Drosophila melanogaster: one gene and its partners. The protein of the gene in region 3 interacts with the protein of the main gene of each other region in a pairwise test. Each region holds a gene or a part of one and is shown on either strand. Other genes may lie near its edges. The genes, in order: Myo95E, CG16787 and CG9184.

Region 1 (8,613 bases), on a different chromosome or scaffold from region 3:
GCTTACGACACGATATAAACTCCACAAATGCCTACGACCAGTGAAGGGAATGCCAAATCGGCATTCCTATACATGCAGAAAATGAGAGTAATACAAATCTCATCATGCAAATTAATAGATTTCCCACAAAACTGCTTACCCGCCACGTGCGCCAGGCACTCGATATGATCATCTGGCTGTGTCGCATGCGCTGAAAGCGCTTCCTTGCGTGATACATTCGGAACATGGTTTGAATAAGCACGGCCAGCTCGCTAATACGCAGGCGGCGAAACTGTTCCAACTCATATACGGTGCGGGGACTACGCACGAACACATTTTTGGTGCCGATCGTGAACTCCGCTGAGGGCAGCGGTAGGTTACGGATTATGAGGGCGATACCCTCTACCTGACTGCCGCCATGAAAGTGGGGCCACGTCAGGCTGTTGAGCAACTTATAGCGATGAAAAAACTTAACGTGCAACAGGTGGTAGCAATGGCCAGTGCGACACAGGTGGACCAGCGGCATGAGCGACATGTAGCGCACCTGATGTTGCACTAGAGCCATATCGAACTGGTGCGGCTGCTTGCCCTCGTTGGGCTTAATACAGAACACATAGTGGGAGCGGCGATGCTTAACGATGGCCAGCAGCGTCTGCAATTGGGTGCGGATATTCGAACTCAACGTGCTGGGCTTTTTGGTAACCTGTCGACGGGGATTCCCCTCGGGGAATAGGCTTTGCACCAAAGAAAGTTTGCTCTGATAAAAGGCAGCGCTTATGTACTTCGGCAGCATGTCGGAGTTCTTTTCGAGAAACCGATGTATTGAGTAGTTCACTACACTTGCATAATGACGAATCCTGAAAATAAAGACATTGAGACATTATTGAGAATGAGATCACATTGCTCAATTACATACTGAAAGCACATGGAATTGCTGCCGGTGGTCATAAAGTTGGGATGCCCCGCACAACATTGCTGAACTCGCAAAAGCAAAGCGTCGTTGCTATTTAAATGGGGTTCATTAATCAAGCTCAATATACCATAGCTGGGTTTGTCTATTAACTCGCAAATAGACTCGTTGTCGAAATAGTCAATGCGAGACCATTCCAATCCCTCGCGAATATAGAGCTCTTGCTCCGAACGCAGCACATGAAACACAAAATTCTGAAATGGGAGAAGGATTAAATTACAATATTAAAGACCTTTAATTTAAGACAATGTAATTTTCATTAACTAAAGTGGATGAGTCATGTGTACTTGCCTGGTGGATCTTTTCCGCGCTGTAGTTAATGGCAAATTGCTCAAATGAGTTGTGGTCCAGCGCTTCGAATCCATAAAAATCTAGCAATGCTAGGTTCTTTTCGCGCTGTGTTGACTTCAGGGACTCATTAATTTTGTTCACCAGCCACGTGAAGAGACGGCTATAAAGAGTGCGACACAGCGTGTTTCGGTTGGTAGCTGCTTGTCGTGCATCCATTTCGCAACCCACATCCTCTTGAGCGCTGTTCGTGCTATTCGCTCTGGTTAAGCAATTTATGAGAATTTGGGCTTCCATATTAAGAAGCTGTGCTGTTTCTTGAACTTCTGTAAATGGAATATATTATAAATTATGTTGCCGGTAATATAATAAACTTAATAAACATACCGTATACATTGGACACCTGACAACCCTCAGTTCCATCAATGTTAGTAATGGGTACGAAAATAAAGTTACCCAACTTTAGAACCACTGCGATGACCCGAAAGATGGAGTTGCTCTCTTCACAACTAAGTCCCAGCACATCCAAGGATCGCTGGAATAGAAGTGAAACCCATCGGTTATTTGTTCACTTATATAATAATCCGGTTAAGATCTAACCTTCGTATAATGAAAATTCATGCGGTCCTCCTCCATGGCAGTTGTGTTGCGGAGCAGCTCGTACTTTTCCACATTTCGATACAGCTTGAGCGATTCTAAGAAGATAGCAATAGCATTTAGCAGGTAGCATTTAAAACGAGTGAAACATCTTACTTAGCAACTGGAGATCAGCTCCTAATAGTAATTGGTAAAAGATGTGAAAATTTCGCTCTCCAATGATAGGGTCCGTTATACGGGTCTGCAAACAGATGAAATATTAGACATAATAACTAAACTAAGTTAATTAAAATTATCAATCAAACCTTTTCCAACATATCTTAGAAGTACGCACGAATTAAATAAATGTCAGAATACATATTTATAATTAATAGGTGGAGTTTTACTTACAATGGGTAATGTGCACTCCCATTGGATCTCCCTTAAAATCAATTTCGATATCAAATAGCTTTCCCTGAAATCAAAAAACAATAGAAAATTAAAATTAAAGTCATATTTAAGTTATCTCTGTAAAAGTGCGGAGGTATTCTTGCACATTTCAGTACATACACATTTCACTTACATATCGACTAGAGTTATTATTTTTCAGGGTGCAGGCATTGCCCATGGCCTCCAGGAACACATCCGCACAGGTGACGCACTCTCGCATTCGTTGCGTGGGCGATTTATGACGCCTGTGCAGCGAAGAGCTGGCCGATGGCGTGGGCGAAACAGAACTAGGCGGAGGCGGCGGCAGATCGCCCAGAACCTTACTCAGCTTGTGTGCATCGTACAGCGATATACGTTGCGTGGACCCCATAAGGGAGCTTCGATCCCGCTCCCGCTCCGGCTGACTCTCTGTCGAGTGCTGGCGCATCAGGTTGGAGCAACTACCGCGATGCGGATGTGCCGGATTGGTGGTGGCAGTGGCTATGGTAGACAGGCGGCAGTTGCTGCCTCGTAGATCATCCCGCTCCTCCTTTTCCAGGCTCTGAGCACGGACACACTTGCTGTGTCCGCACTGGCGGCAACCGCCGTACACGGTGGGTACCGCGTATTTGGGCGATCCCTTGGCTGCTGCGGGCATTGCAGTGCAGGCGCTGACTTGGGTCTGCTGGTGCTTGAAGCACGACTTGGTCGGATGCATGTGGTGGGCGTGCGATTCAGGAAGGCCGCTGATGTTTTCGCTACTCTTGTGGTGTGAGAAATCAAAGTCGACAATTTTCTCCCGCATGTGGCGCCTGCTTTGGCGCTCGATGCTCTCGGCCCGCGTCCGCGATCGCTGCGATGGTCCTGGCGATGGACTTTGTCGCCGTGAAACACTGCCTGACGGATTTTCCGCCCGGTTTTTGCATATAATAAAATTGGCAGTGCCGGAGCAGCTGCTGGAGGCTCGCCTGTGGGCGTGCATCACCAATCCGCTGGCCGAGCTAGTTGAGGATTGCTTGCGCAAAACATTCGGTGTTGGGGGGCAGTGGGAGCGATCTTGTATGTGGGTCAGAAAGTTCACGATCATTTTAAAAGTCTCCGTTTTGCCCGCTCCGCTCTCACCGGTGAGCAGAACACACTGATCCTCGCTCTGATCTTTGAGCGATTGATAAGCCAGATTTGTGAGACCATATCTGATGAAAAAAAGTTGTATAAGTAAAGATAATGGGCCAGCCTCCTAAATGATATCTTACATGTGGGGCGGCAGCTGGAAAATGCCCTTATCGCCATAGTTGCGGACATTGTCCAGAGAGTGCTCGGATATGTGATGATATGGATTCAGAGCCACAACAGATGTTCCAATGTAGGTCTGGAAATGAATATATACGGAAATGTATAGAAATCTGAAGAGTGTAGAACTGTACGGACTCACATATATGTGATCGCGCTTATAGCGCTGGTGGATGTTGTTTATGAAACTATCCTCGGACAGGTTCTCCAACAGTACCGAGTCCCAGGTGCCGATTTCCTGCTCCATCGCGATTCCCAGCTCCAATTACAACGTGCACGGCAGTAGTGACAACAACGACAACGGCCAAAATCGAGTTCACCATTTGAATTTGAATACATCAACTGCAAACGGGGCCAAAACAAGAACGGGAACGATGGGAAGGGTAAGGGGGGTTGTTAATGGCTCCAACAATTGCATAATTTATCGCGGGCCTGCATGCATCTGGGCGAATCCGTGTTTTGATTTTCTGATTCAATTATTGATTTTCATGTGCTGGCGAGCAACAGCCTCGAGCTCGTGTTCACTCATATATTCCGGATAGATAGAGTCCGGCTTCTAATATCCGTGACAACAGGACTCCCGACTGCCCTTCTACGCCTTCGTTTTTAGCGTATTATTGTCTTTATTCGCAACGATTTGCACATTTTGTTTACCTTTTCAGAAAAGACATTTTTGCATCCAGTGGGTACTAGTGGTGGCCCAGCCATCGACGACCATATCGATATAGTCTCTGAGCCACCAATCGATTCGCATACCCTACAAAGATTATTATATCTAATTTTAATAGTTTTAAAATAACAATTAATTTTATATTAAATTGAATGGTTTATTAATATCTGTTATATTTAAAAGGCTATTATTTTACTAGACTTAAGCTCTCAAAATGGTTTTAAAATTATAGTATAAACATTGCTAGGGTGTTACCAGCGTCGGTAATCGAAGCTGGTTATTCTTCGCGGTGGGTTTGCCATCCCTATTGTTAGGATAATAAACGCAAAAATTACCATGAATACTGACGAGCGAAACTTCAGGTCCATCTACTATGAAAAATGCCAAATAAACAGCGTCGAGGAACAAAAGTCGCTGAACAAACTACTACAGGATGACATCCGCAACCTGAGCAAGCTGAAACAATTCTGCATGAACTACACAGTGCCGAACAACAATAGGAGCTATCTGTGGGCCCTGGTCATGGGTATTCTCCCGCTCCACAAAGCGTCCACGGCGTACGTACGCGACCAAAGACGCGAAATGTACGAGGATCTGCGGCGAGCGGTAACCGTGCTCCGGTTTACCGACCATAAGCAGAAGGAGCAGCCCTTCATGTGGCTGATAGACCATAAGAAGAAAGCACAGGTCATGCACACCATGTGGCTGATAGAGTCCAATCGACTGTGGCATGGCAATACTAGTGCCAGTCTCCAGGCGGACGACATGCACTTCATAGAGATTGTGCGCACGTTGCTGCAGATATTCGACGACAACGTGGAAACCTACTGGATAGCAAAGGGATTCTACAAGTACACCCGCGAACTGAAGAAGGAGTGCGTCAAGCTGAAGGAGCAAACGCAGAATATACTGAAGCGCGAAGATTTGTCCTTGCTTAAGTGAGTTTGCATATGGTTAGTCGGGTTATTTGACCAATTTTCTTCGATTACTCCTTATAGTCACCTGGAGCTTCTGGGCCTGTTTGATGGCAACTCAACGCTACTGGATAACTGGTATATAACCTGCTTTGCTGGAATAATCTGTACAACTCATTTGGTCAAGATATGGGACAAAGTCTGTGGAGGGTCCCGGAAGATTGTTGTTTTCCTGTTTGTAGAACTAGTTAAGGACATAAGGTCCTCGATACTAAAGCAAACATCTTTAGCAGACGTCAAAAGACTTATAGAAACGGTAAGTAAATAAGGAAACCATTTGCTAAGCCATAACTTATCCAAAATTTGCCTTAGGTAAAGGATCTTGACGGTGTTATTATCGTAAACAAGGCCATCAAATCACTACAAAACAACAGCAGCGAAGTCGAGTACACGCACTAAGTAAATCTACACTTTTATATTGGACATGTATATAGCAGAATGAACTAAATGTATTTGAAGACCACGTCCTTTTTATCGCCCACCGTTTGCAGTTCCAAGGTCACTGGACACTGCATCCAATAGGAGAGCAGCTCCTCCGTGTAACCAATAAGGAAGTACATTTTTCGCGGTGTAATCGCCTGCCGAATAAGGGCCGCGATCCTAATGGTGTTGTGCTGTCGCTTGATAATGACCTCGGAGCAGACGAGGGCATGCCATGTGCCGGTGACAAACTTGCGGATGAACACATCCTCTATGGCGGTCTGGGACGGACGCAGGGCATCCTTCATTGTTGCTAAGATAGAAGGTGGCCATCAAAATGCTTCCTTAATAAAATTTTCTCACAACTTACACGTGTTCCATGAGTTCCACGATTTGCGGTGGCCAATAAAATGCGGCGGATTGGCCATCTCGTAGGTAAGAGGCCTGTTTCGCTTTGTGGTTATGCGGTATCGCCCGGATTGCACGCGACAGCACACGGAGCTGGTGTGGAATCCTGACCGGCTGAGCTGCTGCACCTCGGTCGCCACCTGGGGCAACAGCTGCAATAGATTAGGTTATTTTAATATATAATTTGTCCTGTTTGTTGTTATTTAACACACCTTTTTCAAGAAGTTCATTATTTTGCGGCAGAAACAATTTTGCGTCCAGCAACAGCTGATTGACGTGACGTAACGGTTCGCTAGAGATGGACAAATTTATAGATAAGTATTCGATATTATTATTGTGTAGTGAAAATATTTTCTATAAAATAAAAAACAACATTGAAGGAAGTAGTTAAATAAAAACACAGAAAGATTAATTTTTAGTTGTGTAAATGCCCTTTTTAGTTCTTAAATGCAATACTTGGATCTCTATTGCATTGATTAAAATCGATTTTTATTTTGTTTTAAAGCGGGGCAGAGTTGTCAACAGTTGTCGGTGGGAAAATGTAATAATGTAATGTAATAAAATTATTGCACGCTTATTTAAAATATATAAATAAACAACATTTTGAGAGCTTCCTTAATAAATAGAGTTAACTTTGTATTAATCCCTTTATTCGAAAGAACTTTGACTGATCATTGAACTTGGGCAGAACTAGCTATAAATTAGCTTAATCGGTAGCACTGGAGCGCTGAGCCTGCGCGCTTGGAAAATGGCTTAAACGCAGGCCATCTCAAACAAAGATCGAGGATCTCAGATCAGAAGGAACTACCTGTTGAAGCGACCGTGCAACAGGACTCATCCAGAAGCAAAGCTGCAAAGGTTTATTCCCAGAATCCCTGGTATCCGAATGCACTAATAGGTGAGGATACATTCAAAGTAATGACGCTGAACGAGAGCGACGCTACTCGCCTGGAGCTGACGCGCAACTTCCTGGAACTGTCTCGAAATCCGGAAACATGCACCGCCCTGCGCAGCTCGGACTGTATCCAGCTTCTGGTGCAGATTCTGCACGCCAACGACGAAGGCCTCTCCACGGCGAAAAAGTACGCCAGCCAGGCGCTGCACAACATCGTCCACAATAATCCGGAGGAGAAGGAGCGCCAGCGGGAGGTGAAGATGCTGCGCCTGCTGGACCAGATCCTCGACTACTGTAACTTTCTGCACACCCAGTTGCAGAGCGGCGGTGAGGCTATCGCAGATGATGAAGATCGTCATCCGCTGGCGGCTATGAAGCTCCTGATGAAAGCCAGTTTCGACGAGGAGCACCGCCAGACTATGTGCGAACTGGGAGCCCTCAAGGCGATTCCCAATTTGGTCCACCTTGATCATGCGGTCCATGGACCGGCTGCCGGTAGGGAACAGTGCAACGCCCTCAGGAGCTACGGCCTCATGGCCCTCACGAATCTCACCTTCGGAGACGAGAACGTCCATAACAAATCGTATCTGTGCGGTCAGCGACAGTTCATGGAAGTGGTCATTGCTCAATTGAACACGGCTCCGGATGAACTGCTACAGGTGAGTTTAATCTTGGAGATTAAGAAAAAAAGATCGTAATTTAATTACCGTTGATCTCATCAGGTTCTTGCTGGTGTGCTTCGCAATCTTTCGTGGCGCGCGGACAAACACATGAAGACTATCTTTAACGAGCTGGGTACTGTGACCTCCTTGGCTCGAGCAGCCATGCAAAACAAGAACGAGAACACTCTCAAGGCCATACTTTCAGCCCTTTGGAATCTCTCAGCGCACTGCAGCACCAACAAGGCGGAGTTTTGTGCAGTAGACGGAGCACTGGCATTTTTGGTCGGAATGCTTAGCTACGAGGGTCCGAGTAAAACTCTTAAGATCATCGAAAATGCAGGCGGCATTCTTCGAAATGTATCGAGCCATATTGCGGTGTGTGAGCCGTACCGACAAATCCTAAGACGGTACAATTGCCTTGCCATTCTGTTGCAACAGTTGAAATCGGAGAGCCTAACCGTGGTAAGCAACTCCTGCGGAACTCTGTGGAATCTCTCGGCGCGCTGTCCCGAGGACCAGCAATACCTCATTGACCACAATGCCATCCCGCTCTTGCGGGCCCTAATCAGCTCCAAGAACTCCATGATTGCGGAGGGCAGTGCCTCGGCTTTGAAAAACCTAGTTAATTTCAGGGCCACTCAGGAGCTTATGCCCAATGGAGATGGTGGGTCACTGCCACTAGACAAGGAAGCTGGCCATGGAGGTACGCTGCCACGGAGATTCAGCTCACTGCGCCTAAGCTCAAATCCCACGGGATCGCTTAAGAAAGTGCGACCCTCAACAGTCAGCACAACTGGCTTTCTGAACAGAAAATGTGAGAGCCGAGAGTCCATTTACTCGGGCAAATCCGATTCCACTAAATACTCAACCAAGTCGGAGGGAGCGAAGAATCCCTTCGAAATTGTGACACCCACTGAAGAGCAGCCCATTGACTACTCCATGAAGTACATGGAGCACAAACCCAATAGCAGTAAGACCTTTGAGATCGACTTGGATCAGCCAACGGATTTCAGTGCTAGATATAAGGAGAGACGATCCGCTCAGACGGCACA
Region 2 (8,178 bases), on a different chromosome or scaffold from region 3:
ATTATATCAGTTTTGTTAATAAAAACAACTTTTGCGGCTTCTGATTTACAATTTCGCCAAATAAAATGGAAACAATATTGAACACGCAGTTCGATCAGCTGCAAAAGGCCATAGAGGGAATTAAGGAGGCGAAGAGCAAGGTAAGTCCGATTTCCGTGCCAGAGTACAGCTCTAAATCCGTCCACATCCGTCACGAGCAGGGGCAATCGACGGATGAGGCTCGCATTGCCACCACCTTGATGTTCGTGGCTCTGAAGCACGCCAACCGCGAGGTGAAGCACAAGATCAAAGCGGGGCGCGACAAGCTGCACCTGGAAAAGTGCAAGGTGGACCTCAGCCGGCTGCAGCTGCAGAATCTTCTGTACGAAGTGAGCCACCTGAAGAAGGAGATTGTGCGCTGCCAGAAGTTCAAGAGCAGGGACACCAGCTTGGAGCTGCTCTCGGAAGCCGAGTACTCCAGCGAGCTGCCAGACATGCCCAACGACGCGGAGGAGCTGTCCAGCCACAAGCAGCACCTTCATCGCCTCGACTGCGAGCTGCGTCTGCGGAAGGCACTCGACAAGCAGTACAGCGCCCTGCTGAGCTCCAAGCAGGAACTGCTCCAGGACAATCTTAGCCACGCCCAGCGGTACGTCTCCTTCGCACCCGCCTTGCGCACTCTGCAGAGCGCCACAAAGCCGCTGCACGATGCACTCCAGCTATCCCTGGACGTGGAATGGAAGCTAAGCGCAGTGGTCAAGTACCTGCCCAAGCCGCTCTACGTTTTGTTCATTGTCCTGCAATCGCTGCAGCGGGTCAGCGAGGAGCAGTCCTTCACCGCCGAGGTGGTTGGCTATGAGAGCGAGGCTCAAATGCAGGAGTTGCTTAAGGAGAAAAAGTGCTCCACATTGAACTACAGACAGACTAAAAAGGAAAGTGGAGACCGGGAAAAGATTGCCGATAAAAACAACTTGGACGACTCACTCGCTCCTCACCCACTACACATTTGTTTGACGGTAGGATGACATGGTTTGCTCATTCCAAAACATTTATTAACCTAAACTTTAAAGATTGGAGCGGCTGGATCGAATCAGCTCGTTTTGCAGATTCGCTACTTTGATTTTATCAAGTGTGCCACTGTCTGGGGCCAACTTAACTGCTCCAGGAATGCCAACGGCCAGGGGTAAGTTTGGAACACACCTAGGAAAAAATCGCATAAATAACTAGGCATTTTTTCACAGTGACACAAACTTTGTTCACCACCTATTGCGGCATTTGTACCCCAATGACTTGGGCAATGAATTACCCATTCCGGGAATCCAATACGAGGTAAGAACTTCCTTATCCAACGTTGGACAACCAATTAAATTACGCTCTTTCAGCTACGAAGCTCGGATTTAACAGCCGAGGAATGTGTGCGCTACCTCAAGGCCAAGGACTACGGAAAACCCTTCTGTTGGCTGCAAAGTATGTGCTCGATTGCAACCGTCAACAGTTCGATGCTGTACAAACACGAACTGAACTTGAATAAGAACAACAAGGAGATTATTGACCGCATTGCCAGGCGCTTGAACTCTTGGCAGCGTTTAAGCCAGCAGATTCGCGGGCTGACCTTCAAGGATATCGATTTGTATAGCTTGCAGGAGAACATCTATCCAGCCGGCCTGTCGTGCAGTCTCGTCCAATGGACTGCCATCACACATGAGGAGCTTCACTCGCAAATTTCAGACGCACTGAATTCTTCGTCAGCGGACAAGGGTATTACGTACAACTCTTACCGCGCTGTCATCGTCCGGGGATCGGCCAAAATGGAGTGCTTTATTAGAATACCGAGTAACTATCCACTGGAAATGCCTCTATGGATTCTGAATGTGCACTGGAACGGATGCCTTACCGCGCAAAACAATTCGGCGATCAAGGTTTGAACTTATTCAGGTATTATCCTCCAATTAGCTTTTAAACTTGTATTCCTCAGATGATGGAGTTCTGGACCAACTCCCTGCAGCCCAAACATTTGGAGCCCAACGACTGCATCCTGTACGCGCAGCTCTTCCGCACCATCTACAGCTTCGATATATTCCTCGAAACCGAGGGATCCATGCAAAACACCATTGAGTACAACAAGGAGAAGCCTTACATAAGCGCCTTCGCCAAGCGGAGCCGCTCACGCCCCTACAAATACATCAAGAAGGGATCGGTCTACGCGTTCAAGCAGTGACAGTTGAATAACGAATGTTGTACAACACAATGCGCCAATGCGGTTACTAAACGTTCTCACAGTTGCGTTTATTACGATTAGTAATACAATAAATAAGTAACATTTAAAGCTAGCTAGCTACGACTTCATTGGCAGTTGATCTTCTGGGAAGAGGTCGCTGCCAAGGATCCGGGAGGTAGTGCCGTCGCAGAAGGGTTCTCAACCGCCTCCCGACTCTCGTCCGGCATCACTTTGTCCACGACGTGCTTGACGATCAGCCCATCGTCGCCCAGATAGCAGACAGAGTAGCCGTCGTACCAGGCCTCCTGATCCTTCAGCACCTCCTTCAGTTGCCAGAGCTTGTACTTCCAGAACTGGAACATGACCTTCAGGCCGGAAATGCCGCGCACTCGCCACCTTATCCGCACTGTGTAGTCGTCCTGGTGCTTCGTGATCTTGAGCACCTCGAATTTCACGTAGGCGTACTTCAGGTGGCCAACCGTTCGCAGGATGGCGATCTGTTTGACGTAGTGGTACAGGCCCACCGTGTGCTTGCCCGTTATGTTGTTGTGGAAGATTAGGCCCGGGCTGTAAATGGAGTAGTCTAGGGGCTCCACGAACAGCTTTGGTAGCGTGGTCCTCAGAACCTCGTAGGCTCTATCCAGGTCCTCGGGCTTACGCTCGTTCTCCTTAGGGTTCCCGGGCAGCCTCTCCGCTTTGGTGCTCTCGTAGGCCCTTCGACTTTGCTGGAGGTTATTGGCGGCATGGCTGTTTAACAACTTTTGTGGACACTTCGCCGGCGCAGACGCACTTAGCCGCATGGCGGACGCCCACGCCCGCTCCTTGGAGCACCAGTTGGCCATCCAGCTGCTCCTTCTTATTGATGAAATCCCGAAATTTCGCAACATCTTGCAAGGACTTTGTGTGCTACTTCCTTCACCGGAACTGGGTTTCCTCGATTCAGATCTGCCTCGTCTGCAGATCACACCATTCAAATTGAACTTAGATCCTGGCTATTTTTCGTTTGCGGCCCTCAGGAATTTGACGTGCTCGTGTTTAGGTAACAACATTTGGAAATAAAATACTCGGCAAAAATCATATGGTCGTTGGGCTGCAGTGTGGCCAGACTGTGTGTAATGTCCCAATAGCTGCGAGTGCCAGTGTGGATGTTAGGGGAACTCCCGTTGTCCAGGGTTGTCATGCCGGATTAGTTTCACAAATTAACTTCCGCAACCGGAAGTCATGAAAATGGAAAATATAACTTATTTGGTTTGAATTTAGTGTTTCAAGCTTATTACATGAAATATGTTGTCTCTTTTTTGAAGTGCAATAATCTCAAACACTTTTCATTTATGTAAGTACATGGTTTTGGAGTTGCCTTATGCGGTTTTCTTGGTTGTTCTTCTGATAAATGTTTGGTACCTCAACAAGCATCGAATCCAGGCACTCGCATCCGCATCGAATCCCACAGGAGGCGTTTGACGAGAAACTGTTGCACTTTACAGTACTAAATGGTTTTGTGCGCAGACTTGCTGCGCAGACCAATTTGTTACAAGCTCGAATCACACACAAATCTGGGGGCATACACATATATCTGTCTGCAGGTAAACACGTTGTTTACAGCCACCCAGCTATATAACACTAATTTGAGCTGAGGAGCTTTCGCTGGCTGAAAAATCGACTTTTATTTGAGCTTAAACCCATAGAGCCTCGTACTATGACGCGCTAATCGGTGACCGTATTATTGAGTGCCAAATTCTCGACTTAGTTGCAATGTCTACTCGACTCTGCTAGCCCTAGTATTGAGAAAAATCAATAGGAAGTAAATAAAAATGCTGCATGCCTGAAACTCGCTTTGCGGATACTCTTAAACTACGTATAATCAATTTTTCTATCGGTAACCGAGCTATCCAAAATGTACGGAATCACTCAATCAACTGTTAACGTAAGTACCCAACCGGCTGTCCGGGATAACTTTCCGTTCTAGTCCTCAGCGATTATTGATTGGCCTTGAAACCCAACCAACTGCCAATGTGGGCTCTCCTTCCCCTCTCCAGAATCAACGCTTTCGAGTTCGTGATATGGATAACGAGCAGATCATGTCCACTTTTGGGAACATAGGTCACCTGCTGAACATTGCCGTGGAGCGATTTATAACCATTGGCGAGATCATCGCCGAGGAGAATATTGACATCAAGGGAGACATGTACGAGGCGGCGAAGGAGGCCAGAGATGCGGGTAAGAAGACATCCTTTCCAGCCTGGTACATCCTTTTCATTGTATTTTGTTGTACGATAGGAAAATCGATTGAACGACTTTGTGATATTTCACCTCTAAGCGGCATGGAGCTGCGCCACCACATCGAGCCCCTTAAGGACTATGGAGCCATCATTTTGGCGGCCCGCTCCCTGCTGTCGTCCGTCACGCGCATCCTACTGCTGGTCGACATCATAGTTGTGAAGAAGCTGCTGACCGCCAAGAAGCGGGCCTCCGAGAGCCTGGAGAAGCTGGAGTCGGTCATGAACTTCACGGAATTCGTGCGCGCCTTCTCCGTGTTCGGAACCGAGATGATTGAGCTGGCCTACCTCACGGGCCACCACCGCAACTCCTTCAAGGAGGAGCGACGGCGGGCGCAGATGTTCTCGGCCCGCCAGATACTGGAGAAGTCCATCGCCATCCTGTTGACGTCCTCGAAGAACAGCCTGATCCACAGCGACTGCGTGATCGTGAAGGAGAACCGGGACACTGTGTTCTGCCAGATCCGCAGGGCCATGGACCTCATCCATTTCGTGGTGAAGGACAGCATCTTCGACACGGCCAAGCACATGCCGTTCGAGAAGCAGGCGAGCAACCCGAACTACGAGAACGAGAGCATCTACACGACAATAAAGCGCATTGTGAACCTCATCAAGCGGTACAAGTACCAGATGAGCTACTACGAGGGCTCTGGCGAGGGCAACAACAACTCCGACGCCTACTTCAGTTTCCTGGACGATGACCTGTGGAAGTCGGAGAAGAACCTGCCCTCCGCGGCGGGCGGCGGCCGCATGGTGAACAACACGAACTTCAGGAAGCACCTCAGCTCCGAGAGCCTGGACCTGCGCGAGGAGCTCTCGCTCGCCTTCGAGAAGCTGTTCGAGAAGGCACACGACTTCACCGACTCCCCCTACATCAGCCACAACCATCGGAAGAACATCCTCTCCTACTGCGACAACTGCAAGCTGGAGTTCGACCTCTACCTGAACACCATCATGAAGGATCAGCACGAGGGTGGCGGTGGAGCCGGTGGAGTTGGAGGAGTGGGCGGAGGCCAGGTGAAGGGTCGGTCAGATCCCGAACTGGGTATGCTGAGCAGCCTGGAGGAGCTGTGCAAGCAGTTGGTCGTCTCCGTGTCCAGCCAGATCGAGGATTTCAACGAGTCGCTCAAGATCTGCTCCAAGCTGGTCAAGTCGTTCCACGTACTGGCAACGAACTACGACATCGACAATCTGAACCAGCGCTCCTCGAAGTTCCACGACTGCTGCGATCACATCTTCGACATCTGCAAGCTGCTGCAGCACATTGCGCCCACGGAGCGGCTGCAGGTGCAGGCCAAGTGCCTGGCGATCAACCTGCGGATCTACGGGCCGCAGGTCTTCATCGCGGCCAAAATCCTGTGGAAGTACTCCAACAGCAGTGCGGCCAACGAGAACTTCGAGTCCTTCTCGGACATGTGGAAGTGGCTGACGAACGAGATCTCCATGATCGCCAAGAAGATCCTCGTCTCGATCAACACCACCAAGGGTGACAGAGATGCTGATGCTGAGGTGGGTTGCTGCCCAGAGTGGGCGAGGTAATCACTAACTTACTTCCGATCTTCCCCAGAAATGCGAAAGCTCCTCAGACAAACTAACAAAATCCGGTGTACCTGCAACAGAAGACGGAGAAATGGTTGAGTATTCTGGCCTCGAAGGCAAGAACAACGGAGATCTGAACACATATCAATCAAAATGGAGCGAAGACTTGTCGGACGACAACGACATACTGAAGAGAGCCAAGAACATGTCCGCGATGGCTTTCCTAATGTATCAGTTTACCAAGGGCAACGGTTCTCTAAGAACAACTCAGGATTTGTTTACTCAAGCCGAATATTTTGCGGAGGAGGCCAATCGACTTTACAAAGTCCTCCGCCACTTTTCATACCAGGTAATTATCGGTTGATAATGGGCATCCGTGTCGCTAACTCTGCGCTTGTTTAGGTTCCCGCCAGTGACAACAAAAAGGATCTCCTCAACATTTTAGATAGAGTGCCGACTTTTGTCCAAGCACTCCAGTTTACAGTCAAAGACCACACGGTTGGTAAAGCCGCCACCTTCGTGAAGGTCGATCACGTCATCAGGGAAACCAAGAACCTTATGAACGTTATAAACAAAGTAGTGTCGAAGTGCTTTGAGTGCGCAACTAAGGTAAATAGGCCGAGGCAGGCCCACGCGGCCATTTCCTATATGTAGTGGATGATACTACAGACTTTCTCAATGTGTATGATTTCTATAGTTTACTGTGATATTAAAGCATGCATTATTACAGGTATGATTTTAGAGCTTTCGTTTGTTGCCAGGGGCGCAGGAGAAGCCTTTTGGTTTTTGAGGATGTGCTTCAATCCCCGTTTCTAAACTCTCAATCTTATTAGTTACATCTCTTACTTTCGACTTTGCTAATGTAGATGGCGCTGTATCTTAATCTTAATCGCTAACTTTTGTATTTCACGCATGTATGTACATATGTATCTTGATGTATTGAGTTTTGAGTTGAGTTGAGTTGATAGCTTGATAAGATCCCCCATCGTGTGTTTATCTAACCCAACTGTGACCTTTAACCAACAATTGGTTTTGGCCACTCATAAGCTGCAGTGCCAGCTCCTCTACGAACTCCATCCTAATCCTAATCCCCTTGCTCCGCCTTGCAGTACAAACTAAATTTAACTGGCATAACCGGAGGACTCACCTCGGAGCGGTCGAACGAGAACATGGCCGGCGGCATGTGCGATTCCAAGGGGACGACGAGCAGCAGCGACATTCCCTGACATTACGGGATGGCTCGCCGAGCCAAGGGGGATGCGCGAAGGACGAGGGTGTCCTTCCTGCTGTTCTGAGAGGAGCCCGGGGGTTTTGCTATCGTAGTCTACACTGTTGGCACTGCATTCCGTTTTGTGTACGCGTATTAGTTGGCGGCCGCTTCTAGCGTTGATTAATGTCGAAAACTTTATTAACATACGAGTCCAATTAGTTGTTTCAGCAGCACGATCTTATAATGCATATTTTGTTTCACTACATTCGATGTTACGGCAATAAAGGTAACGCAGATGCAGATACATATGTATCTCGAGCTCTTTCACTTGGGTCTACAAGTCGGTGCGTAGATAGTTCCTGCTGCTTTCGTTCACGATGTGAGTGCGGGGCATCATGTTGCAGCAGCTCATCTTCGGTTCCTGCGAAAGATTGTACACCTTGAGGGCCACTGTTTCCTTCGACTGGTCTGTTTGGACGGTGGAGTCCCTCAGCTTCAGCAGGTTCTTGAAGAACATCAGGTCCAGGGCGAACAGAGCGGCGCAGATGAAGCAAAGTGCTCCCAATGCATAGGCAAATATCAGCAGATCTTCGGACAGCTGCTCCACCGTGAAGAATATCAGTAGTCCTGGAGGAGAGAGTTCATCACTCTGACATTACTGCATCCCAGGAGCCATATTACCCTCTATGGTGAAGAACAGAACGCCACAGGTCAACAGAATTATCTCACAGGTGCCATAGTTTGAGGTGCCCTCGATGATCCTAAGAGGAGATGGTCTTAGCATATCATATATATATATGTCATAGTCACTGGGTGGTTAGTTACCTCGTGAGCAGCAGCACAGCTGCAATGAAGGTATAGCCCACGAAGGTCAGCGTGCCGAAGTCATCGCCCTCCTTCGACCAGGAGATGCTGTTGAGGAGGGTCCACTCCCTGGACTGCTTCTTGTTGATGGC
Region 3 (8,244 bases):
GTGCTTCAATCTGCTGGATCTGCCGCGCTACAAGACCAAGGAGCGCCTCAAGTACAAGCTGCTACAGGCCATCCAGCAGACGCAGGGCTTCAGCCTGGTCTGATCGATCTGATCTGGACCCATTTTTTTACATCGACCTCAAACTACAGGTATTTTCCGAAATCTTCGGATTTCGCGCATTTTGGATTGAAGAATGAAAATTGGCTACTTTCAAAGACAACCCCAACGTGGAACACTCATTTATCAGCGATCAAATCAGCAAGTACAATGTCGTGTTATAGCTTTAAACTCTAGACTAGTTATTAATATCGCATTGTTATGGAGAGAAAGGAATTCAAGGAGGTAAATAAGGTTGGTGCATCAGTCTGAGGACAACAACAAATGTCTAAATTTCCGTGTAACTTTTACCAATAAAGTTATATAATATGGCTTATATATTGTTATTTTCATTGATCGCAGTAACGGTTAAGCTTTAAACCCGATAACGATAGCTTCGCTTCTGTCCGGAAACGAGCCGCGTTGGCAGCACCGTTGGCGCACAGCTGAGCCCGAAATGTGGCGGCAAATCGAAGTCGTCGAAGTCAGTTCAACTTCAACTTTGGCAAGGTGCGCGGCCGCGTGCGGATTTCGTTCGTTAATTTCTTCATTCGCCGCCGAGAACTTTTTCGGACGCTCATTTGCATGCGCTGGGCGTGCGGTGCTTGACATTAACCAACCGACCGATTTCGAAAACTGCGCGCATATATGCCGTCCTAGCCCCGCTTCTTCAAATTATCCACCAACACCAATTCGCTTACAACAAACGTTGTCCAAACGTCACCTTTACCGGGTCAAGCTAACGGTACCCGCATCGGAAAAGAAATTCAAACAGGTAGAGCACTGCGACCACAAAAAAGTAACGACTTCGGGCGACAGTTTGTGAAATTATGGGTACTTAGGCCCCCAGTTTGCAATTACATGTGTGCCATCCTGGTCGCTTGTCCATCTCAAACTTCTTAATTCGCTTTATATGCCGCGAACGAGGCGAGCTGGCCTACAAAATCAATTACCATCGCAACTTTTGCATATCCTGACAGCTAACAAATGTCCGGGCCACAAAATCCAGCGATACCATGCCGCGCACATGAGTGTATAACTCAAAAAAAAAAGTTAGCAAAGAAAAAATACGAAAAAAGCGGTTCTGCCGGTTTGCCCGTGGTCGTGATCTGTGCAGCGTCTTCCGCTGCTTTCTTTCCTTTGCACGATTTGAACTTGGACACCAAACGCAACAAAAGCCACAGCGGCGGCACAAAAGAGCAACAAAAGCAGGAATGCACTGCGAGAAACGTTTCCTCAAGGATTAGTTTAACTCATAAATGCAAATGGTTTACGCAGTTTCTAACTTTCCTAACAACTTTCAATGATAATCAAGGGTGCTTTTTCATGATCGGTTCTTTGAAATAATAAATAATATGGGAAGATGATTCTCCCAGTGCAGCAGCCACCGCAATCGAAGAGATCTGGTTTATTGTGATGCTCCTCTAATAAAGCGAGCGTTTAGGCACCGGCACCTCAATTTCGCCGCTTCGCTCGCTCCTCCGTTCGCTTCCTGGGTCTTCACTCCACACATCGTCTGCGAGGATATTTGTAAACTGGCTGGGGGGGTTCACCTGTCCCTCGCTCCCCGGGGATGAGCTTGTTTGCCCAGGTTTTATAGCAGGAACAAACAGGCGGGGCACACAAAGAGGGTCAACAGGGCGTATGTGTTTGGCTATGGGGGAGACATGAGTAATCGGTGGATATAGCTGGCGGGGATGTATCCCCTTGCTCCGCTTGCCTACTCGCTGACCAATTGAAATTGTATCAAATTTCAATTTCGTTTCCACACTGCGACGGCCCTCCATTAATTTGACCCAGTTTTGAAAACAGCGGCAATAAGCCGCTTAAAAATAACCAACTGCAATGGATCGAAAACGAAACCGAATGATTCGCCAAATCTGGCAGCTGTTCAAATACAAGCTCGCAACAATATAATAATATTGTCAAATACCTACCTGTAGTCTTAAAATATCTGGGATCTGCTCACTTTTAAAGTACTTAATGGTATTGAAGCTAGACTAGAGGCGATTGTAGAACACCTTTTTTCGAGTGCACAAAGCATTGCCCCCAATGTCATTGCCTCACACTTGGCACCCAAAAGAAACGAATTGGAAAACCAAGCGTATCACGAAAACCCGAATTTTGGTAATGATGTAATGCCAACTTTCTGCGAACTAACCGTTTGGCAAACAAACCCAGAGGCCAAGAGAACAAACGAAGAACCGGAGAAGGAAATAAAATTGCACGCCTTTTGGTTCGGGTAATTGCGATATTTATTATCGCCCAGCCTTGTCATGTGCCCATTTGACTCTATGGAGTCCACGGAATATTCGAAATATAGCATAACCTGGTGTCTAGGGGAAACGGCGACCCGCACCCACCTGAAAAAATTTCGAAATCGCGGCCTGATGACAAACTTGAACTTTCTCTTATCGGAATCGGTGGCGTTATCTTCTCGCTGGGTTCAACCAGTTTTACTGATATGATATTGATCGTGTACGCTCTACATATGTACATACAGGGTGCTTTTACCTCTTCTTAGCCAGCTGCATTATGACATTAATTAATGTCTAATAAGATAAGATACGAAAATTAAGTTGAATCGACAAAAGACCACAAGCGATTGTCGTAAACGTCCATCGAAGCACATCGCTTTTCCACGAAAGATGTGGAGGTCTGGTCGACAATTGGTATGCCCTCTTTTATGAATGGGCAGATGTGTCACTTGGAAGAGTAGAGAATGACCTGGTCTTACCTAGTGAATGGATTCATTCAGACATTGTTCTTTAAAGATGTATAAGATACGATCTCTTAAAGAAGTTACGATTCATTTTCACCTTTTAAATTACAAATATTGACGGCATTCTACTATTATCTGTAGTATCCTGGCTGAGAAACTGCTGATCCACCTTAATAAAGCGGTAATTGGCCATGTGGCAATATGCCCCATTCAATCAATTGTATGGCACAAGTACAATTATAGCAAAAATCCCCACTAGTCATAAAGTTCGACTGGCGAGGAACCAAGAACACGGAGCCAGCACTTCCACTCCATTCCATTTCTTTCGACGGAGGAGTGAGCTTGAGTGAGCTCGTGTTGGGATCACCATTACATCGCACCTCGGATTTGCTCAGGTTCGGTAAAGTGCCAAGTAAGGGCTTTTCGTGGAAGCCCCAATCCCAAACTCCAAACTCTTATTCGACGTGAGTACGAGCAAAAAGTCTGTTTTGAAGCGGCCAAAACAGTAGGAAAGGCAAAAACGAAACAAAACGAAACGCTTTTGGGCAGCTCTTTCAGCAGATTTTTTCTTTTTTTTTTGCAATTGGCAGTAAATCGCGTTCAAGATCGGCCTCAGCTGTTGACGCTTTTTATGGCTCGCAGTGAGCTAAGAAAACAGCGGGCCCCAGTGATTGTTTAATACTTAATGGTTATCCGAGACCGAGACCCAGGCACTTGGCATGCGTCACAATGGCGGCGTGATCTCCTCGAGATCTCCTCGTGCCCAGAAGACTCGTCCCTAAAAGCGGGTGACTCAGCAACCGAGCGTCCAGATTCTCTTATATACATATGTATTTGCAACCGGCTCGATAAGTTTGCCCAGTTTGAATTTGAATTTCCAGTCTTTGCGGGTGCGAGAAATGACGATGATGACGATCGTTTGAACGAATTCGATCATCTTTACTCTCGGTCAGCGGCCTCAACTGGGTTCTTTATAATCTAACGATCCATTCAGTTGGATGATCTGGCAAAGCTATTATCAGGGTTTAAGTAATCGTCAATCTCGAGTGGATTAATAGAAACACCTTCTGCCTTTCTCCTTTCTGCAATTCTGTTTCTACTATTATGGGCTTTCAGTTGGACGATTTCTTTAAACATTTATCCAGTCAGAATCGATTAGATATTGAATAGGGCTATAAACTAGAACGCATGCGATGATAAGTAAGAACTACAATGCATCACGCGGTTACTCGGAATATACATGGTACACAATTTATTAAGTTTTAATCAATGATTGGATTAGAGTACTTCAAGCCCTGGCCATTTGGAGTAGGTGATAAAGTGGCACAACGTTAGCGTTGTTCCTGCCGTCGAGGAAGTTCTGGTGGGACAGCACGGCCCTGCCCTGGAAAACGCCAGGAATGGCGGCGGAAGTGAGTCCATCGGCACCGGGAAGTTGGTTATCGACCTCGCCAGCCGTCGAGGAGCGATAGAAGGGATAGTAGGGATAGCCAGAATAGCCGCCAAAGCCGGGATATCCAAAGCCCCCATATCCATAGCCGCCATATCCGCCGTAGTAGTTGTAGCCATTGTAGTAGGGATTGTAGTAGGGTCCCGGCGGAGGAGGAGGTCCTGGCGGCGGTGGTCCGGGCGGAGGGGGTGGCCCCCAAGGACGCTGCGGTGGCGGCGGATAAGCGGGCGGTCCTGGCGACCACTGCGGTGGATAGCCATACTGCCGTGGGTGCTGCTGATCCTCTGGTGGATAATAGTAATGGTGTTGTACTGACGGTTTCGGGGTGGTCGACGGGGCTCCCGAGGCCATCACCAGCTTGATGCCGCCCTTACCAATGGTCTTCAGCAGGTGCTCGTCAATCCCGCGTCCACTTCCCAGCGGATCGTCCAGCACCTGTTGCTGCTTTTCGGTCCTGGCCTGTCCGCTGACCAGGCTCGTCTGCAGTGGCGCCTTCTCCTGGAAACAGAGGCCGCTGACCAGCAGCTGCAGGATAACTGAAAAGGATGTGTCACTCTTTCTAGGCAGCCGATCGTCCGTACTCACCCAAACCAATCGCAGTCACTCTCCGATCCATGATCTCTCTCGGAATAACCTGACCACTCCAGTTGCATTGCCCTTTTATACGCGGTGCATCTGTGATGAGATGTGTGGGATCTCGTTCCCGGTTTCCTCATTAGAATAACCCATGCAGTGGCCCAAATTTGGGATGCCTTTCTTTCTTCTGTGTCCATCTCCATCTCCATCCCCAGCTCCAGCTCCAGCTCGAACTCGATCTCGATCTCGGATCGATCAAGCACCGTTCTAATAACTGCGCTCATTAATTTGCATATGATATAAATGCTTGTAGGGGCTTTGTGGGATCTTTCCACTTCTCATTCCACTTCCATGATCGTTCTGCCAGCCCTGCATTTTTCCAAATGAATTCGAAGAGTTCAATATCCCGCGATATTGCTGCTTGATATATGACGACATTTGAATGCAGATGAAGGTTGGTCATGCCACTGAACAAAAAAATATTCAGCAAAGCTCTTGAGTTGGCAACAAATTTTTTGGAAATATGTGCCCTTGAACTTATTGTATTATCGTTGAGTTTCCGTCTTTAGAACTTATCTTTACTTTTTACGAATGTATTTCTCCATCTCGCTACAAAGCAAATCAGCCTCTGCCTCTTGGTTTCCTATTCTTAATGCTCGACTATTTCTTTCGGTGTGCGATTAATGGGTTAGGAACTTTTTCGTTTGGGTGGGACTCATGGTTTTTGGGTTCCGTTATAGGTCGTGTGTCGTAGACATGTTTACGAGTCGTCTGATACAACAAAATGTGGAGTTCTCTGTTACATCACCCGTTGGAGTATTTCTGGATCGGGAAACCAGTTCCCCACTCTATTAGACCGCTGAATGGGGATTAAAGAAAGAGTGGATCAAGCCGACAAAAGCAACGCCCCCAGGGAACAGAAAGTCAATGACTTCATAGTAGGGAGAAACCGTGTTATTGCAGGGATATTGAGCAAAGTATAATTATAATGACTACACACTCATTAATATTTACAGTTTAATTCATTTTATATCCCCCAGCTAGTTTATCTAATCATGAAAGTATCTGTAGAGGCTTGCCCCGCCACCCAGTCAACTTTGGCAACTCTCTTATCATACAACATATACTCGTGTCAATTGGATCCCAAACAGTTCCATGAGATCTGCACTCACCTGCCCTCCAACTTGTGGATTCCTTAAATAGACGTAGCATAATCTTAGGCGATGGTTGGTTTGTCAAAAGTGCTAAAGTGATTGCAGAATGACTGCAAATGGCTGTGCCCATTGGGTGATGTATTCGTATATGGTTTTCGACATGATCGATATCCACTTCCATCTGCCCTACGTGCAATTAAACAATTATGTGACAAACATCGAATCACGGCGAGCTCGGCTCCAACGACTGGGACGTGTCTGCCGGTCTCTTCGAGAATTCCTGGGAAGTCTTCCCGGCAAACATTTCGCAATTAGTCAGGCATTCGTTCCAGTTCCACACAGCAAATCCCCTTCCAAGTGGCGCAGAGTGGATGGAAACACACAATAGTGGCGGTGGAGGCAATTGCAATCTAGTGTGTGTACTTACAATGTTTTCATTCGGCAATGACTTATTATTTAGCACACTGATAGCTGATAACACAGTGCTAATGTGAGCTGGAGCACTTTTCTGAGTCGGGGTTGTGAGTTTCGAGCTCTGACTCACTCAGAAATGTCCCGAAAGCGCGGCAGTCATCTAGAAATCTTGAAAGCATTAAGTTATAATTTACATTTTGGAGAAGCAAGTTTATGAAATTAGCTAATTGTGGAGCAAGAACTAAGTAAAGGAATTCCTTATGTACATTGAAATCAAATCCTTGATCTTCGCAATAATGGATACTAAGGACTACATAGAGTAAGCAGTGCTAAGATAAAGAAAGTGAATAGATTATAAATCATATAGAATAATTCTTGATTAGTTATCTAAAAACCAAGAAACTGGTTCGCGTAGCTAGGAGGAACCACATTATGAATCAACTGAAAACATTGGGTTGCTCGGAATGATGGGAGATGGGAACGCATATATCTTTAGGATTGACGCATGCGAAAAAGACGTATCGTGATCTCAGGTACTTGGAACTCCGGAATACAGCCGATCCGGAATTCTTTGGTGCGCTGCGTTTCTGTCATGGTCTCCTAAATCGGGTCCCGAGTTTATTCGCGAAAGGCACTATCTAATCGGGGACTGATTGGCGGCATTGCCCTCCTCATCGCAGTCATAGGTATATTATCGTTGATAAATGTGCCGACTAAAAAAAAAGAACAACACAAATTCCGACGAGGCCAATTGATATGTGGAGAGGAGAAGTATTGATGGTTAAAACGCCTCAACTGCCAGCGGATCGGTTTAGTTTGCCAACGGAGCCGTCAAAGGGCGGAATATGCGCGGAATCTGACACATCCTCCAGAGAATCATCAATTGGAGCTATCAGTGGTGTTTGTGCAGTAGTGTTGTGGAACAAGAAGAATCGAACAAACATGGCCAGGTAGAAGAAGCGTGATTTGAAGAGAATCCATCTAGAGATGTGCAATTGTTTACTCAGTGACCTAGTGAAGTGTCCTTGGATAATCCCACAGTTATATGACCAGCATTTCTTAGGAATCTTAGAAATCCTACCAGTCACAAATCCATTGCATAATCGTTTCTTTTATGGTTTTACCCGCCGCGTATCAGCAGAACTGGAGCAGTCGTCCAATAAAGCAAACTCTTACCACTTGCCCACTTCCCTTGGCCCCATGAAATATGGCATTGATAAGGTGAATTGCACCTGCCCACCATTACTTCTATGGATCTATAAATACCCCAGATTGGGTATTTGCATTGGGACTCATATAGAATATTATATTGGATATGTCTGATGAGATCATTTGGAATTGATCAACAATATCCACATTCACGAGTCACTATCATTTGCCTGATTCATTTCCGCAGGACTGTTATAAAATATTGTCGAATAGCGAAAATCTTATCTTTGGGGTTTCGGCTTTCTATGGGGCTTTTCTGAATTGGTTTTCAAGAGGTTTTTCCTAATCAAGGTGGTTAAACATGGCAACCCTTTCAGCTGGGCAGTCCGATTAGGTTCGTCAAAGATAAGACCTATGAAGAGGATTTTCTTAGGAAGTTGAAAAATTAACAATGAAGCAAGCACCAATCGTTTCTGTGGGATCTGTATTTAAGGAATCATTTTGATGCTTATGTGAACCCCTTTCTTTGCTTTAGTTTTAATTCCCAACTGAAAATGGAGACGGGCCTGCACGAGCGTGATCGTGCTGGAGTCCAGGACTTTGTGCTCCTCGAGAACTACCAGAGCGAAGAAGCCTTCATCGGGAATCTGAAGAAGCGGTTCCAGGAGGACCTGATCTATGTG

What was found.
Region 1: the proteins of CG9184 (region 3) and Myo95E interact in a two-hybrid assay, tested with the Drosophila melanogaster proteins (one large-scale study listed by BioGRID).
Region 2: the proteins of CG9184 (region 3) and CG16787 interact in a two-hybrid assay, tested with the Drosophila melanogaster proteins (one large-scale study listed by BioGRID).

What each region holds. Positions count from the first base shown.
Region 1 is NT_033777.3:24,157,252-24,165,864, forward strand, and holds the start of Myo95E (myosin 95E), read right to left. Parts: upstream 4,039-8,613; 5' UTR 3,780-4,038; coding exon 3,675-3,779; intron 3,612-3,674; coding exon 3,496-3,611; intron 3,436-3,495; coding exon 2,397-3,435; intron 2,289-2,396; coding exon 2,225-2,288; intron 2,154-2,224; coding exon 2,140-2,153; intron 2,076-2,139; coding exon 1,991-2,075; intron 1,933-1,990; coding exon 1,838-1,932; intron 1,773-1,837; coding exon 1,625-1,772; intron 1,564-1,624; coding exon 1,241-1,563; intron 1,144-1,240; coding exon 896-1,143; intron 837-895; coding exon 140-836; intron 67-139; coding exon 7-66; intron 1-6. Other genes in the region: TBC1d7 (TBC1 domain family member 7), read left to right, coding at 4,539-5,140, 5,201-5,432, 5,489-5,575; mRpS24 (mitochondrial ribosomal protein S24), read right to left, coding at 5,620-5,909, 5,967-6,156, 6,217-6,234; Apc2 (adenomatous polyposis coli 2), read left to right, coding at 6,923-7,558, 7,622-8,613.
Region 2 is NT_033778.4:23,954,099-23,962,276, forward strand, and holds CG16787 (uncharacterized protein), read right to left. Parts: upstream 3,308-8,178; 5' UTR 3,085-3,307; coding exon 2,323-3,084; 3' UTR 2,237-2,322; downstream 1-2,236. Other genes in the region: thoc5, read left to right, coding at 66-140, 201-995, 1,050-1,162, 1,221-1,308, 1,362-1,898, 1,955-2,197; alpha-Catr (alpha-catenin related), read left to right, coding at 4,092-4,121, 4,234-4,414, 4,475-5,982, 6,041-6,361, 6,415-6,621, 7,122-7,238; CG13566 (uncharacterized protein), read right to left, coding at 7,557-7,849, 7,904-7,983, 8,048-8,178.
Region 3 is NT_037436.4:1,317,899-1,326,142, forward strand, and holds CG9184 (uncharacterized protein), read right to left. Parts: upstream 4,909-8,244; 5' UTR 4,885-4,908; coding exon 4,854-4,884; intron 4,805-4,853; coding exon 4,107-4,804; 3' UTR 3,894-4,106; downstream 1-3,893. Other genes in the region: Herc4 (HECT and RLD domain containing E3 ubiquitin ligase 4), read left to right, coding at 1-103; Myo61F (myosin 61F), read left to right, coding at 6,673-6,731, 8,097-8,241.